Linked DNA regions of Caenorhabditis elegans. The protein of the gene in region 2 purifies or fractionates together with the protein of the main gene of each other region. This does not show direct contact. Each region holds a gene or a part of one and is shown on either strand. Other genes may lie near its edges.

Region 1 (4,648 bases), 2.0 Mb from region 2:
AAAATATTTTATTTTATTTTTCTTGTTAAGCAGATTTGCATTCCAGTTTAATTTTATATTTTATATCAGATTCTTACATTTTTTGATGGCCAAGAGACTCAACGTTCGCTGAAGAAGCTCGCTTTTTTATTGAAATTCCTGCTGAAGAACCTGAATCAAACTTCCAAATAATCTTCGTAACACATTCAATTGAAAATAAAAATATAAAACTTACTAGGAGATTGTTCAAATCGTACAATAATTGCCTGATCTGACGGGTGTGCATCTATTGAAACTTGATTCATTGAGCTAAACACGGAAAATCAATCGAAAAAACTCAAAAAATATTTCTCTTCATTCTGATTACCTATTATAGCTTACTGAAGAGCCGGGGCGGAGCATTTCTGAATAACTGACAAACGACAGAAATCGATGAGACGGCTCGAGGAGCACTAGTCGTGGGGGATGTCTGTTCGTCTCGCACGCTCTCCTTGGAGACGTTGCACTCGTTGTAATAAGAAATATTGCTTACACGCTTGTACCAGTGTTCTATTTTATTTGTTCGGAAAACTTTAATGAATTAAATCGACAAATGGGGGTTTTAACAATATAAAATTGAGAAACGAAGAGTACGGGATGGACGAATGAATGGAGGAAGGAAAGGAGTGGAGATTGATTGACATCATAAACATTTGTTTTAAATATTTAGACCATTTAGAGAAGTAAAATTTGATACTGTTTTAAGAGATAAGTTTAGCAAAAAAAATTAAAATTTGGAATTTAAAAACGAATAAAATGGGGATTGTTTTGATGAAAAATTGAGCCAGCAATTGGTGAGGAGTCATTAGCTCTAAATGGTCCACAGAGATAAAGAGGAAGGGATGTTGACAACGAAAGCTTGAATTGAGAGGAGATTCGCCGGGACCACAGCATCTTCTCGTGCCAGCCTAGATCATAATGAATCGAATTTAAACTTTTTCGAAACTATGTTTAAAATCAAAATTAATGTACACAACTTTTTGAAGCCGATTTACGAGAGATGGCCGAGGCCTCTTGGGGCGTGAACAACAAAGAAAAGGTTAGGTATTTACAGATGATAGATAAATCGACTGATGATTACTTCTTGGCACCCTTCTTTGGTTGCGCAGCCGGTGCGTTTCGTGGTGGGGTGACTGGTCTATTTGAACCAACTCCTCCAGCACCATATGGATATTTCTTCTTGTCTGCTGGTTTCAAGATCTGAAAAAAATATTCCGAATTGTTTTATTTTAATGTTTGATAGGTAGTTTTAGCGTTTAATAAATCACCTCAGACAAATGCCTCAATTTCACCCCGCTTAGCGGCAATTTCTTCGAAGAACTCGAATAGATAGCCAAAATAGACTCGTCTGATTTAACCATTGCATCATTGGTGAATGCATACGCATTATCAGTATTTAAAATTATATAGATGGTACCGCTATGTTTACCTGGAAAGAGCACATCAGTGTTTCATCGACAGTCATCATCGATCCCGCGTTATCAAACTCTCCACAATAATTAGGAGCGCTGAACAATGTAACCAACTGCCGCTTAGCGAAGAATTCGTAACCGTCTTCCACAACCTGAAAATTTCTCGGTTCGCAACTTTGCAGAAAATCTTAAGTAATACCTGGTGAGCTCTGCAAATCAAATCCAAATCGTGCTTGTGCAGGAATTTGGCAACAACTTCTGGTCCGAAAGTGAAAGAGACGCCTCGGTCGTTTTCTCCCCAGCCAGTGACATCCTGAAAATAAATGGTAATCATTCATTGAATTTTATGTTCACAAACGAACTTTATCAGGATCTGACCACAACAGATCGCACAACAATCCTTGATCTGGTACGTCTGTCGGCCTCATGATACGACGAATTTGCTCCATAGACTGAAGATCTGGAGAAAGTCCTCCGTGACAGCAGAAGATCTTTTCGTCGATGATGGCGGCAACTGGCAGGCAGTTAAAGCAATCGGTGAACGTCTTCCACAGTTTGATGTTGTATCGCCGCTTGCCTAAAAACATGAGATTTGAATAAATCTGTACTAAGATAATCTCAGATCAAACTCTTACACTCGTCATAGAAGCCATAAATTCTGTTGATCGAGGCACACTCGTGGTTTCCTCGGAGCAGGAAGAAATTTTCCGGGTACTTGATTTTATATGCAAGTAGGAGACAGATAGTTTCCAACGATTGTTTCCCTCGGTCCACATAATCGCCGAGGAACAAGTAGTTCGACTCTGGGGGGAATCCACCATACTCGAACAGTCTCAAAAGATCGTAGTATTGTCCGTGCACGTCACCTGAAAAATATATTTTCTCAGAATATATATTATCAAAAATAAAAACGGCAATTTCCTGTGGAAGGAAATACTAATAAGTAAAATGACTCATAGCAGGAAACGTCAACTTTTTTCGATAGAACTTACCGCAAATTTTCAACGGAGCTTCCAACTCGAGAAGAATAGGTTGGCTCAGAAAAATTTCACGAGACTTCTGGCACAACCCCTTGATCTCGCTCTCTGTGAGTTGAACATTTTTCCCTGGTTTGGATCCTCTGACTGAAGCGGAAATCATTTTAAGATTAATTTCAATAAACACTATGACAAACACATACCTTCCAATAATCTGGAGATGATATTGTCCAGATTAAGCTTTTCTACGTCCATTTGTTGCGAGAAATCGCTCAAACAACCCAATTAGATCTGCAATACGAATAGAATTACCTCTTTGAGATAATGTCAATCAACAAACGTGAAAATACGGAAAATTTAGAAAGAAAGTTTGATAATTACGTCTTTAAATCGCGTGATTACTCGAAAAGTTGATAAAAACAGCAGCAAACATGTCAAAAATCGAAAGATATTTGGAGGCGACAGGGTCAAAACGAATGAAAAGAGTGGCGGGTCTCGCCGCGAAAATGCCGCATTCAGCAGGGTACGGTGGCCGGTGGAGCGCTTTTACATGTTCTCATTTTTTCTGAATTTATCCGCTAATTTAATGATTTTGAATCTGTTTTTCTACATTTTTTCTTCTTGTTAAAATTAAAAAAAAGGGGACGTTCAAATTTTCAGAACTTCATTAGTATTGAATTGAAAAAGAGCGCGCGAAAAGGATTAACTTGGTTAGAGGGCTTTGAAAGTTGAATTTTACATTGAGGAAAATATTTCTACCATTATTTAGAAGATAAAGCTTAAAGTTTCTCTTTTCCCTGAAATTTTCACTATTTGTCAAAAACGGGGCACATATAATCGAATGATGCGCCAATTCGTCACTTTGTTTTCGACCAAGATGGCAGAGAAATTGGTTGGTGGTGAGAGATTGAAATGTGTAAATATAACAAATACACTGTTCTTCGTTCACGATTTGTCAGCAATTATGATCAGATGCAAAAACATGGGGAACAAGATGCATTAAATCTTATTAAGTGAAAGTTTAATAGATGAAAACGTAGTTATAAGAAGTTTATTTAGCATATTTTGATAAAACTTTTACTTATGAATCATTTTGAAATATGAGATTATTATAGTACTCAAAAGTTATATATTATTTAGCTAGAAATATATGAACACTTTGGTACTTCTGCATCCATGAATTCGTTCAGAAAATATATTGAAGCATTAGTTAGAAAATGAGCAGTGAGCATTTAAAAAAATCGATTGATGTCTAGTCAAGTTCAATAAGAAATAAGAAAAAAGAAAAATAGTTGGAGTGAGAAAAATCAGCAAAAAAGATGCGAGAAGTGTGGTGCTCATGGAAGCCTTCTTCTCCATCCTCCTCACAACTCCCTCCATTTCTCTGCGTCGCCTGTTCCCTCTAGTCCCTCGTGACCAACTGCAGTTTCTGTCGTTTTCTCCCCATGTCATGTCTAGCACACGTGAGAAGTGAAAAGAGAGAAAGAGAAGGGCATGATTTCGATTCTTCTGCCGCTTTTCTGTCACTGGTAACAATGCACCTTTGTCGGATCAGACACTCATAGATCGTTGATCTACCTGAAAGTTTGAGAAAAACAAAATCTCTGTTGTTTTATCTTCTCACATCTTCCTATTGATTATTTTTTCTCTTTTTTTTGTTGTCCTCTCTTCTCATTCGTTCTATCCTATCTGTTCCTGTTTGTGTTCTGTTCTTCACCACATTTTCTGAACAAATCGATAATCTGCACAGTTCGAAGAAGATGCCGCCAAACGCGAACTCTGTTGGGGGCCCGAAAAAGAAGAACAAGAAGAATCATCAACGCCCTCAACAGCAACATCAACAAACACAGCCACAACCGCTACCAGAAGAGGAACAGCCGGTAAAGTGTTACTTCATAATGATTTTTCAAAACTAAAAGTTAAAAAAATCGAATTTCAAAAAATCTCCTTTAAAAAACCGTTTAACGGATTTTTCCGTTTTCTAAAGCGCTGCAAACATCGAAACTATGCAATTATTTTCAAAGATAGATAAAATCTTAATAGATTCGGAACGCTAACGAATGTTTTTCTTATAGTACTACCCAGACGCGAAAATTCGTGCCAAAAAACGGTACTGGGTCTGGACACGACAAGTTTTTGTTGAATGTGAGCCTTTAAATAGTACTGTAATTCCAAACTTTCGATGTGTGGAGTTTACATAAATTTTTTATAGTTTTTCTTACAAATTCGATAAAAAATTCC
Region 2 (4,777 bases):
TTGCTTTTTGTTCGGTTTTCCGAAAAAAAGAGAGAGAGAAAGAGGACAGGCGGCAAACCAAACAAGTTTACGTACAGTCCTGACTGTGTCAATACTCTTGGCTGGCGTCTCCCCTTGTGATGTCACTCACAAGTCAGTTGACCCTTCCGGAGTGTGTGGGGGATCTCTATCAGATTCTTCTGAGCTTTCTCTCGTTTTGTCAATTTTTTTCAGCTGCCTGCTGGCTTCGACGAAAAATGTTCTTCCCCCTATGGCCTTGCTTCTTTTTTCGCTTGAACGCTCTCTCAGAGAGCCCCACAGGCTGAGGAGAGGCGCCAATTGCATTATTGGCTCTTCGTTGGCTCTAGCCGCCTTAGACGGAGAATAAAATGCGGCCACCCAAGAGTTTTTTGGACTCGTTACTCTTCTTCCAACTTGTTTTCACTCATTCTATTCTTCCATTTGTCAAAAAAACATTTGTGCGTGAAGAATGTTTTCTTTAAGGTGACCTACCACTTTCGAGGCTCTAAATAGTCATATTATTAGTTAGAATATGACTGAAAATACGAAAAATTAGATTAAAAACACTTTGGTAGCCAATATATGGGCGGAGTCTCTTTTTGGAATTTTCTTGCCGTCGTGCCATTTCATTTCAAATTTGATTTTGATGTTTTTGAAATCTCAAACTGAAATTGCTAGTTCTAGGCTGCAATTATCTGAAATTACTCAATATATTTTGCTGAGCTTGAAAGTTTTGATAAATAATTGCTCCCAACCCACCCACTCACTATAATTGTTACTTTATATTTAAAAATTAGTTTAAATATTAAACTTATTGATGTCCTTTCTTGGACTCAATTTTTCTGAAGTGTCAGTTCTTCGCACCCTTATTTCTTTTTTTTTTCTTCAGAAATGTACTAGTACGTGCTTTAGAAATTTATAAAAGTAATCATTTACATAACTTTCAAATATTTTTTTGATGAATAAAATTAATTTTTAAGAACTTTAGTTCAAAAAATCATTAAAATGGTGTAATATTTCGACGAACCAGGCACTAGAAATTATTATTTTCTCTAAGACCTAGACTTACTTTTTTGCAGATTTAGAACATTTTGACCTGATTTTTTAATTTTGACCGAGAGAAAAATATTTTTTTAAAAATATATATGGTAGGGCTTCGATTTCTCTTTTTCATGCCACATTCAACATTTTTCAAATTATTTTTTTCTATTTTCGACATCATCTTTCGGTTTTTAACCAACCGGATAATATATCAAAAGCTGACCAAAAAGATAATTACGTTGTTGATCACCAACTACTGATCACTGAGGGAATATAAAATATATGAAAATACATAATTTGGTGATTCAATCATTCGAAGTTCTGATCATTTAGTGAAAAAAAGGTTTCTTTCGCAAATATTCGAGAGCTCAATGCTAAAAAAAAAGACGAAAAGTATGCAAAGTCATTAATCATGTAGGATCTACTAGCTTCTCTTGACTCTTTTCTCTGCAACAATCACATCTTTGTTCCGCGCAAAAAAGGCGAGTAGCCAGTTTTTTCGTTTCTAATTAATTTCCTTTTAGATTACAGCTCGCATGCTTTTACTTTTTCACCACGCTGTGTCTCTAGCTATTTCAGTCGTGTTTACGGGAATATATATGGAAAAGAATTATTGATGTATTTTAGATTATCCAATAGTTTAAGTGATGAGGAAAAAATAATCTACAAAGATAAATTAGCAAAAAAACATTTTATGTTTGATTTCGAAAATATTTGAAAAAAACATTCTTAAGTTTTTGAGAAACTTTAAAAACTTTTTATGACAAGTACCTCTAAATAGTAATTTGATAACTAACGTTTCAAAACGATTTCTTTTTGCTTTGCTTTTTTTACCTATTCACTTTTTCGAACCTAGTTAAAAAATAAATTCTCCATCTATTTTCAGAAAATGGCATCACCCTCCGCTTCTGCAGACGACGTCAAACTGACAGCCGATGGAAAGATTTGTCTTGATGATCCAGCCGAGTTTCTGAAAAGAAAGCCAAAGAAGAGTATTCTTAAGATGAAACAAGACTCATCGCTTGAGGGCAAAGATGGTCGTGCACATTTTGATGAAATGAATATTCTTGCCACTTATCATCCAACTGACAAGGATTATGGAAGCATGAAGGTTATTTTTTTTAGCATGTGCTTTCTTTTGTGGCTGCAAAAAATATTTCCTTCTTCCTCAAGAGGGACCCTTAAAAAAACAATTTGGATGAAATATGGGAATTTTTTGGGAAAAAAACGTCCTCGAAAAGTTTTTCAACTAAAAAATTGAAACAAAAAAAATGAAATTGGGAAAAATAACTTTGTTTTTTTACATCTAAACAAAATTTCCTTCAGAAAACTACCTTTTTATTAGTTTTTTAAACAAAAAACCGAACTTTTTTCATTGAAAAGGACTTTGAATAATAATGAACAAATATTGTTAAAAAACACCTCAAAACTGAAAATTATCGAAAATATATGATTTAAAAAACGTCTAATTTTTTTTTGTTGAAAATATAGTTAATTTTATTACAGCTTTTTTCCCAAAAAAAAGTTAATTCAAATGCGAATTCACACTAAAAAGTAATTATAGAATAAGCGAAATAAAAAGTTATTAAAAATTCAAGAGTTTTTAGAAAGTTACAATGAAAAATTATGAAAGGATTTTCCGACAGTCAATCATTTTGATTTTTTTTCTAGAATTATTAGCTTTTAACGTATTTTTCCCATGAACGTTTGTTTTAATTATTTGACTTTAAATTGTTTCAACATATTCAGATTGCTATTAAATTTTATTTTGCCATTTTCAAAAACTTTGAATTTTGCAGATTGATGAACCAAAGACCCCATATCATCATTCAGATGGTGAAAGTGAATGTGATGAAGGAGTACTTGGAGTACCAACAACTCGACCACGACGAGTATCACTCGGAAATGCCATTGACCCAGAAAAAGTGGCCGAAGGACTTGCTCATCCGGAGGTTTTAGAGCTCTTTATGTGTTCTCTCATTTATTTTTCATTTATTTTTCCAGAGTGGAAAATCACTTTCTTCCGCTGAAGATTCCGAGGACGAGGCTGATTTGACAGAGGAACAACGTGGTACGGAATTGAAAATTGAAGAAAAATACATTTTAGTTGAAATATTAAAAAAAAGTATATTAAAAATCAAAATTTATAAGAAATTCACAAAAATATTCTAAAAATTGTAAATTAAAAATCCTTTTAAAAACCGATTTTTATTATTTAAAGAAATTGTCTAGTAATTTCGAGCAAAAAATTTTGTGAAATTAAAAAAAAACTTATTTGGACAGCTTTTGTCTTCAAAGATTTTTAAAAAATAGTTATTTCTGATTAAAAAAATTATAAAGGAAAAATTCCAGAAAAATCAGTTTAATGATATAATACAGTTGAAAAATTGGTTTTTCTTAGAAATTTTTTTAAAAATTTTGTCAACAAAAAATTTAGAAAAATTGTTGAATTTTTTCAAAAATCTTATTTTTGAGTTTAAAAATGTTTAATTTGGAAACATAATCGAATTCTTTGAAAAAATCTAGATTTTATAAATATAAAAAGGTCAAATCTCAATATTATCATTTTTCAACATAATTTAAATTTTAAAAAATCGTTTTTTTCTCTAAACTGATCATAAAAATTGGCTCAGTTTTTTTTTAATCTAAAATCTTCCATTTACTAATGATATTATTTTCAAAATTTTTAAAAAATTATTTATTTTAGGAATGTAATCAATTTTGATGGGTTTCCTAGAAAAAAAACTAGATTCACTGAACATTTTGATATTTGTCATTTCAATTTTTTTTAAATCGAAGCGTACAAAATTTCCATAATTTAAAACACGACTCTTACAGCTCACCGTCGCGATTTCGAGAAGAAACGACGTGCTCATTATAACGAGGGAGCTGCTCTGAAGCATCATCCAGAACTCGAAGATGATGAAGAAGAAGCTACTGCTGCTGCTGCTGGTGCCGGTGGAAATATGGAACACTAGCAAATACATTAAATGCCGTGTGCAATCATATATTTTTGTTTTTCCTTTGAATTGCTCTCTTTCTCATTTTTTTCAAAGTTTCCACCAAAAAATCTGAATTCTTGTATAAAATCCTTTTCCCCCGTAAGCGAATTTATTTATTATTTGTTCTCTCAATTTCTCAATTTTCCCTACTATATTTTTCAAGTTTTCGAAATGAATATCGAATGATCCATGAGTTTTCTTACTATTAGATTTTGAAATTTTCAAAAATTGTCTAATTATATTTTGTCAGACGATTCTAATACTGAAAATTTTGAAAACAAAAATGTTTTTTACCCCGCTGCGAAATACTACGATTTGCGCTCTAAAAATACGTTACCCGGTCTCAAAGCGATCGATTTTCTTAAACGCAGAAAAGTGTGCGCCTTTAGTAGTACTGTAGTTTCCAAAAATGTGAAAATATTACACCTAATTTTGAAGAAATAGGAGAAAAGCTAGAAAAAATCGAAGAAAATCCCGCAACAACGAAAAGTTATCAACTACAGTACTCTCTTATGAATTCAGAAAAATCGATCGCTTCGAGATCGCTACATTGTTTTTGAAACAAAAATCGCAGAATATTGCATAATTAATAGTTTTTTTTTTCGAAATTGTTAATTCTATTTCTAATAATATTTGATGTAACACAGTCCAATATTTTCATCATTTTTGAGACACAAAAAGGTCAACATTAATTGTCATCACGGCCGTTCACTACAAATACACGTAGACTACAT
Region 3 (6,546 bases), on a different chromosome or scaffold from region 2:
GAACTTTCAAAAGAAAATAAAGCGAAAAATTGAAAACATTGTGCAGCAGTCAGAAGTGTAAACTACTGTACTCTTGAAAGACGCACACTGCTTTTCACAGAAATCATTAAAAAATATTACAGTCGTGCCGGGTCCAGGTATCGTATTATTGAGTCGAATGGTTTATAAATAACATTATTTTGGCGACGAAATCCATTCTGAAAACTACCAAATAGAATTTTTAAAAAATAATTGCCCAGTTTAAAGGATTATGTGTTGCAGTTATTTCTGAAATATTAAATTTCCCTGATCTTGATTTAATGTTTCAGAAGTAATTGGTTTCCCTTGGCAGGATTCCTTCTCTTTATTCTTTTTCCATCCAACGAACATTTTATTTCTATTCTTGTACTCATTCCAAACAATGTGATTCATACTTTTTCCATTATTTTTTTGCCTGAAGACAGTATGTGTTTTATAAATACTTTGACCAAACACACACACACAAAATTTGAGTGACTGGTTCTTGCGCAAGAGAAACCTTTTGGAAAAAATATTCATTGGAATCAGTTGGAGGAAAGAAAGAAGGAAATGGGGGCGAGAAAAAGGAACGGGGGGAGCTGTCGAGAAAAATTCACTATTTTCGAATAAAAACCATAGAAAATTATCAGTGTGCGTGTTGTTGGGGCGGATCAGAATTCAATATTCTAAAAAATAAGAACGAATTCGCTCTCGTACTTTCAGAATGTTTGTGTGATTAACATTGTAAGAATAAATAAGCTGCAACTTTAAATCGGAAGGATTTTGATCCCGGTGTGTTAGGCTCACAACTAAGAATAAAACAGGATAAGAGCAAATGGAAAAAGAGAGGCAATCAGAAAAAAAATATATGAGAAAATTTAGCTAAAAATGGAGAACACAGAAGGAGAGAGAGAAAGATTTGCAATCTGTACTCGCCAGAAAAATTAAATTATATTCGATCGAGTACAGTTGCACAAAAATAGAAAATCAGAAAAGAAAATAATAATGAAGAGCATTTAAAACTCGTTTTTGTGCGGGGTGGGGTGTATTGAGGGCGAGAAAATAATAAAATGTTTGAGATAAAAGAGAAGGGAAATTCAAAAAAAACGGACAGAAAAGTAAAAATCCGAGAGAAATGAGTAAAAATGTAGGCAAAAATGTTCTTTCTCCTCATCACTTTACTTCTTACCAGCAGTCGTTCCAGGCCGTCCTCCGCCCACTGCTGGTCGTCCACTGTTCATTCCTTGATACTGATATTTCGCTTTTTTCTCCGATGGTTTCAGAATCTGTAAAATAAATAATGAATCAAATTTTTCTAATTTATTTGAAAAAAAACAATTTCAGTCTTATCCGATCAAAATTAATTCTATAAGCTTTTTGAGTATAAAATTATCTAATAATCACTGATGGTTCAGTTTGGTCATTATTTCCCGATAGGTTCAAGAGGATATTGGAAGAAAAAGAGTTTTGACGTAACATGGGATGCAACTACTTGAGTTAGATTGTTTTTTCGGGAAAAGAACAAATTGTCACTAACTGAACAATTATCAACATTATATATTTAAACATTTTAAATTTTTTCCGAAATGTAGGATTTTAATAAAGAAGTACCGTTTGATGGTACTTTTTCTCTCATATTTTGATATGGAAAAGAAAGAAGATGGAAGGTGAAATACTAATACAGCTCATTTTCGGTTCCTGAGATTTCTAAGATTTACGAAAAATTATTGATTTTTGATACAAATTTCACGAGATTTTGTGAAATATATTCAAAATTAAAGAATTTGATAGTTTTTTTCACGTGAAATACACAGCCACTAGCATTCTAATTTTCTCGATCATTTTAATACGAATTTGTAAATATGCCGGTGCCGTTTTTCTCTAAAAAGGTTCATCTCATGCTAGATTATTTCTTGATGTGATGCGAATGTTCAATGAGTTCCCAGCCAAAATTAAATTTGAAGAGCAGGAACTTTTACATAAATTCGATTTTCAATCTCACGAGGTTTCAATTTTTCGAAATCGGTTCCTCTTGACCAAGGATGCCCGACCCCTAATTTAAAAATCAATTGTAAACACATTTAGAAAATTGGTTTCTGATTTTCCATCTTGTTTGAATTTATTCCATTTCGGGGATCTGGAATATTTGGAAAAAGAATGAAATTGTTGGAACGTGTATTGACCCACGACGTGGCTAAGAAGATCGTATAACGTGAACTCTATGAACTAACTTATTTATTCCTTAGTTTAGTAATGTAATAAACTACTCGTCTTCTCTCCTTGTTCGGCCTTCGAATACATAACAGAAATATTCTTACCTGGAAACTGCACATTAATGTCTCATCAACGCTCATCATTCCACCAGCGTTATCGAATTCTCCACAATAATTTGGAGCAGAGAATAGTGTGACAAGTTGTCGCTTAGCAAAGAACTCATATCCATCTTCGACGACCTGATGAGCTCTGCATATCAGATCCAAATCATGTCTGTTCAAAAACTTTGCAACGACATCAGGTCCAAATGTGAACGAGACTCCTCTATCATTTTCTCCCCATCCGGTAACATCCTTGTCTGGATCAGACCAGAGCAAATCGCACAACAATCCAGTATCAGGAACATCGGTTGGTCGCATCACACGGCGAATTTGTTCCATATTTTGGAGATCTGGGGAGAGTCCTCCGTGACAGCAGAAGATCTTCTCATCAATGAGTGCAGCAATTGGAAGACAGTTGAAGCAATCGGTGAAAGTTTTCCACAATTTGATCGAAAAACGTCTCTTACCTGAAAATTATTTGGTTTAAAGACTTTTCAATAACAATTCCAGCAATTTTTACTTCTAAAAATTATTAAATTAAAATTTGAGGACCTGGTCGTTTTTTTTTGATATTTGATGAAAATTTGAGTATAAGAATCTGAAAAAAAGAGAAATAAGAAAATCTTCAAAATATACTGATTTTTTCAAAGAATTCAGTAGCTATTGTTCTCCAAATTTTTACATTGATTGAAAATTGTAATTATTCTGTTATTTTGAAAAAATAATTGACATAATTTTCCTTTTTTAACTATCGAAATTTGCTGATTGAACTGGACAAATTTTAATAACCCAGAATTTAATGGAATTTTTCGTTGAAATATAAATTAAAATATACACAACCGATGCATGGTTATTAAGAATCTTTTTGTCATCCGGAGAAAGTTTCTACTTGATGTGAACGGGCGTATGAAAATTTAAAAAAAAGCGAATATTTTGTTTTGGAATAATTTGTTATTACGTATCCATGTGCGGGTGAGAAAAATCGCCATATCTTAAGCGCAAAAAGCACCTGCGTCTCTTTTTCTCGCATGCTATCTAACGCCTATGCAAAACGCCTATGGCGAGAGAGCGTGTGGAGAAGAGAGACGCAGGCGTCTCCGCAGTTTTCATCAAATCATGGACACGTAATATCTCAATTAATATTTCGAATTTTCTTTAAAGCAAAAAAAAACCTTACATTCATCGTAGAATCCATAAATACGGTTAATTGAAGCACATTCGTGGTTTCCACGAAGAAGGAAAAAGTTTTCTGGATATTTGACTTTGTATGCGAGCAACAAGCAAATTGTTTCCAAGCTCTGCTTTCCACGATCGACATAATCTCCGAGGAACAAGTAATTGGCCTCTGGTGGGAATCCTCCGTATTCGAATAAACGGAGCAAGTCGTTATATTGTCCATGTATGTCTCCTAAAATTAAATATTTCTCATTCATATTGAACTTTTAGAGAAATTAACATTCTAAATTGTATGCTGCGAAACTTTTCAATGACATTCGGACTTTTTTTCCAATAATCACATACGTTCAGTGATGTTTTTACTAAATAATTGAACTATCTTTGAATTTTTAGACAGAATTTATAAATAATCGAAGACTATTGACCATATTCTCTAGTCGTCTCTTACATTGCAGACACAAAAACGGTTTTTGAATAATAAAAAAACTCACCACAAATCTTGAGAGGTGCTTCGAGTTCCAGAAGAATTGGCTGTGATAGGAAGATCTCACGAGATTTATGACAAAGAGCACGGATCTCCGCCTCCGACATGGTAACTGGCTTTCCTGGACGACATCCGCGAACTGAAAAATAATTTTATTGAAAAATCAAATTAGTCACTTAAAATAAGCTTTAAAGAGAATTAGTAAAATTTTAAATATTAATTAAATTTTTTACGACCGTAAAAATCGGAAAGTGGAAAAATGACAGAAATTATTGAAATAAATAGTTGCCAACCATAATAAATAATGATAATTGCTATATTAAACAAAATTCCTCAAAACCAGAATATTTGGAATTTCTAGTCGGAATTTCAAACAAATAAAATTCAATAAAATTTCTGAACAACTATACAGCTGGTTTAGTTCGAATGTCGATATTAGATCAATTTCTCTATTAACTTTAAAACCCACCTTCAAGAAGTCTGGTGATCAGATTGTCAATGTTTAAATCTCCATCGTTCGACATTGTTTTTGCAGCTGCAATCTCCGCGGCTTCTGTTGGTCACTTTTGATGGATGGCAAGTGATGTATGTTCTTGCAATGTTTTTGGCCGACAACTGATATTGGTTGTGGCTGAAAGATAAAAAATTAGTAACGTTGGCGTGAGAATTTAAAAAAAACTTCAAGGAAAACGTGAGAAAATTGATAAGACTAAGCTTAAAAAGCATCAAAAAACAACAGCAGTAGGATGTGATGCGTATCATTACAATTCCAAGAGGAAAAATGCAAAAATGAGAATTTTATCAAGAAATTGTAATGCGAATATAATATAGTTTTCAAATTTCCTGATTGGATTATATTTTTGAAGAATAAAAACCTTAAAGTGATTTGTTTCAATCGGAAACTCGATGACGTGATGGACACAATATTAAAATGTTTGAGAAAGAAAGAACACATGGTTTTTAACAATCGATATGCAAATTTTGAATTTGAAAAGGCAACAAACGCGTGTCGTGAAAACAAACAAAAAAACTGAATTATGTGAAATTTGTGCTATACTGTTTCTAAACATTGAAAATAGAAAACGAGCAACTGATGCCTTGAAGAAAAAAGTTTGTTGGTGTACTAAGAGAAATTCCTTCGTCCTGTGGTAGCAAAAGACAACAAAAAGAATTGGGGAGCAAACTGAGACCATATTCACTTAAACACCTGCGTCTCTCAAATTCGAAACGTGAATCACCGCTTTATGCACCTTGAGGCAAATCGAAGCTACTCTAATACTCTTTTTTTTTCTGGCCAATTTCAAGTTATACACCTATATAGTTTTATCGGAAAACGGTAACGAGACGACGCCCGTTCCTTCTCTTTGCCGTTATCAACGACCCCGAGGAGGAACATGTCATAAACACGACACCGTCGTCACAGCAGGCGGATAACTTTACAGCACTAGAAAAAGGAAATGGTGAAGATATGATAGAGAGAAAACAGAAGCTTTCAAAGAGAAACATGTGTGGCTGTAGTCAAGCAAAGTAGGTTCATCAATAGTGGAGGAAAATGAGGAGATCGGGATGAAATGCCGCGTATAAAAAGAGGAGCGAAAAGTGACGACGGACTGAGACGCATGTGTATGTGCCTGTCCCTATGTGTGAGTGTACGAGTGGAGCGAGAGACGAACGCGCGCCGATCCACCGGCCACTGCCCGCAGTATTGATCGATAACTCGCCACCGTCGTTTCCATTCTTTCGCCGAAACAATTCGCAATGTTATTGCACTACCTCCGGTGGCACGTGCGATATTGGTTCGACACTACTGACATCGTGTAAGACGTCATGGAATCAAAAACGGCGACAACTTCCGAGAAGGTTTTCTTATCACACTTTGCGCATAGTCTGTTATCTTTTGAAAAGGGTAACGCTTATTCTTGTGAGAAAAAACAACAATAAAAAACGGCTAGAGAAGCTTGAGGTGCTCTTTCTTTCTCTTCTCTAGAACAAATGGGCAAAACGAGATGTACAAGTATTTGATTTGCACGCAGAACGTTTCGAAAAGAGGAAACGACGACGAGAAAGAAAAGATTGAGAAAGGCAAACACTTCCTGTGCGGTAAAGATATACGACATTCCAGACTTTTTTCAAACAACACTTAATAAACAATTTTTTATTATTAAGCATAAAATTATGACAAATTGTATGTTTCTGCCAACAAAATGTTACAAAAAGAACTATTTACGAGCCATAAAATTTCGTAATTATTTTTCTTTTCATTGCGCGGTGTAAAACTTTTCGATGACTAATATAATGTTAACAATATAAACTAAATGATAACACATGTTATTCATATTTTAAACCAACTTCTTTTCTATTCAATCGAAATAAATAAATTCTGGAATAAATACCCCAAGAAGTCATTCAAATCACCTTAAGCCTCTATGACATTACGGAAAATAGTTATATCAAACGAAAATTATTTAAAAAAGAATAAAACTACTTGATTTCGTAACATAAACAGTTTCATAAACGAAAAAAGCGATGAAAAACATTCAAAAAATGCAATAGGACAAAAATTATTTTGAAAGT

What was found. The genes of interacting proteins can lie anywhere in the genome.
Region 1: the proteins of szy-2 (region 2) and gsp-2 purify together in Caenorhabditis elegans (affinity purification with western blotting, with the first as the bait; one study listed by BioGRID). This does not show direct contact.
Region 3: the proteins of szy-2 (region 2) and gsp-1 purify together in Caenorhabditis elegans (affinity purification with western blotting, with the first as the bait; one study listed by BioGRID). This does not show direct contact.

The regions. Positions count from the first base shown.
Region 1 is NC_003281.10:7,334,637-7,339,284, reverse strand, and holds gsp-2 (Serine/threonine-protein phosphatase PP1-beta), read right to left. Parts: upstream 2,699-4,648; 5' UTR 2,663-2,698; coding exon 2,611-2,662; intron 2,555-2,610; coding exon 2,423-2,554; intron 2,297-2,422; coding exon 2,066-2,296; intron 2,008-2,065; coding exon 1,793-2,007; intron 1,744-1,792; coding exon 1,630-1,743; intron 1,583-1,629; coding exon 1,448-1,582; intron 1,394-1,447; exon of another isoform or gene 1,283-1,393; intron 1,219-1,282; coding exon 1,096-1,218; 3' UTR 520-1,095; downstream 1-519. Other genes in the region: kap-1 (Kinesin-associated protein), read right to left, coding at 78-150, 215-284; F56C9.10 (BCAS3 WD40 domain-containing protein), read left to right, coding at 4,168-4,287. UniProt on the Caenorhabditis elegans protein: Serine/threonine-protein phosphatase essential for chromosomal dynamics during meiosis and mitosis. During meiosis, promotes chromosomal cohesion and germline immortality via a small RNA-mediated genome silencing pathway.
Region 2 is NC_003281.10:5,368,425-5,373,201, reverse strand, and holds szy-2 (Protein phosphatase inhibitor 2), read left to right. Parts: upstream 1-1,925; 5' UTR 1,926-1,930; coding exon 1,931-2,152; intron 2,153-2,840; coding exon 2,841-2,993; intron 2,994-3,045; coding exon 3,046-3,112; intron 3,113-3,879; coding exon 3,880-4,019; 3' UTR 4,020-4,236; downstream 4,237-4,777.
Region 3 is NC_003283.11:10,680,479-10,687,024, reverse strand, and holds gsp-1 (Serine/threonine-protein phosphatase PP1-alpha), read right to left. Parts: upstream 4,604-6,546; 5' UTR 4,497-4,603; coding exon 4,442-4,496; intron 4,112-4,441; coding exon 3,980-4,111; intron 3,721-3,979; coding exon 3,490-3,720; intron 2,780-3,489; coding exon 2,316-2,779; intron 1,284-2,315; coding exon 1,176-1,283; 3' UTR 520-1,175; downstream 1-519. UniProt on the Caenorhabditis elegans protein: Serine/threonine-protein phosphatase which antagonizes the function of air-2 in the regulation of chromosome cohesion. Dephosphorylates histone H3 at 'Ser-10'. Dephosphorylates translation initiation factor eIF2alpha.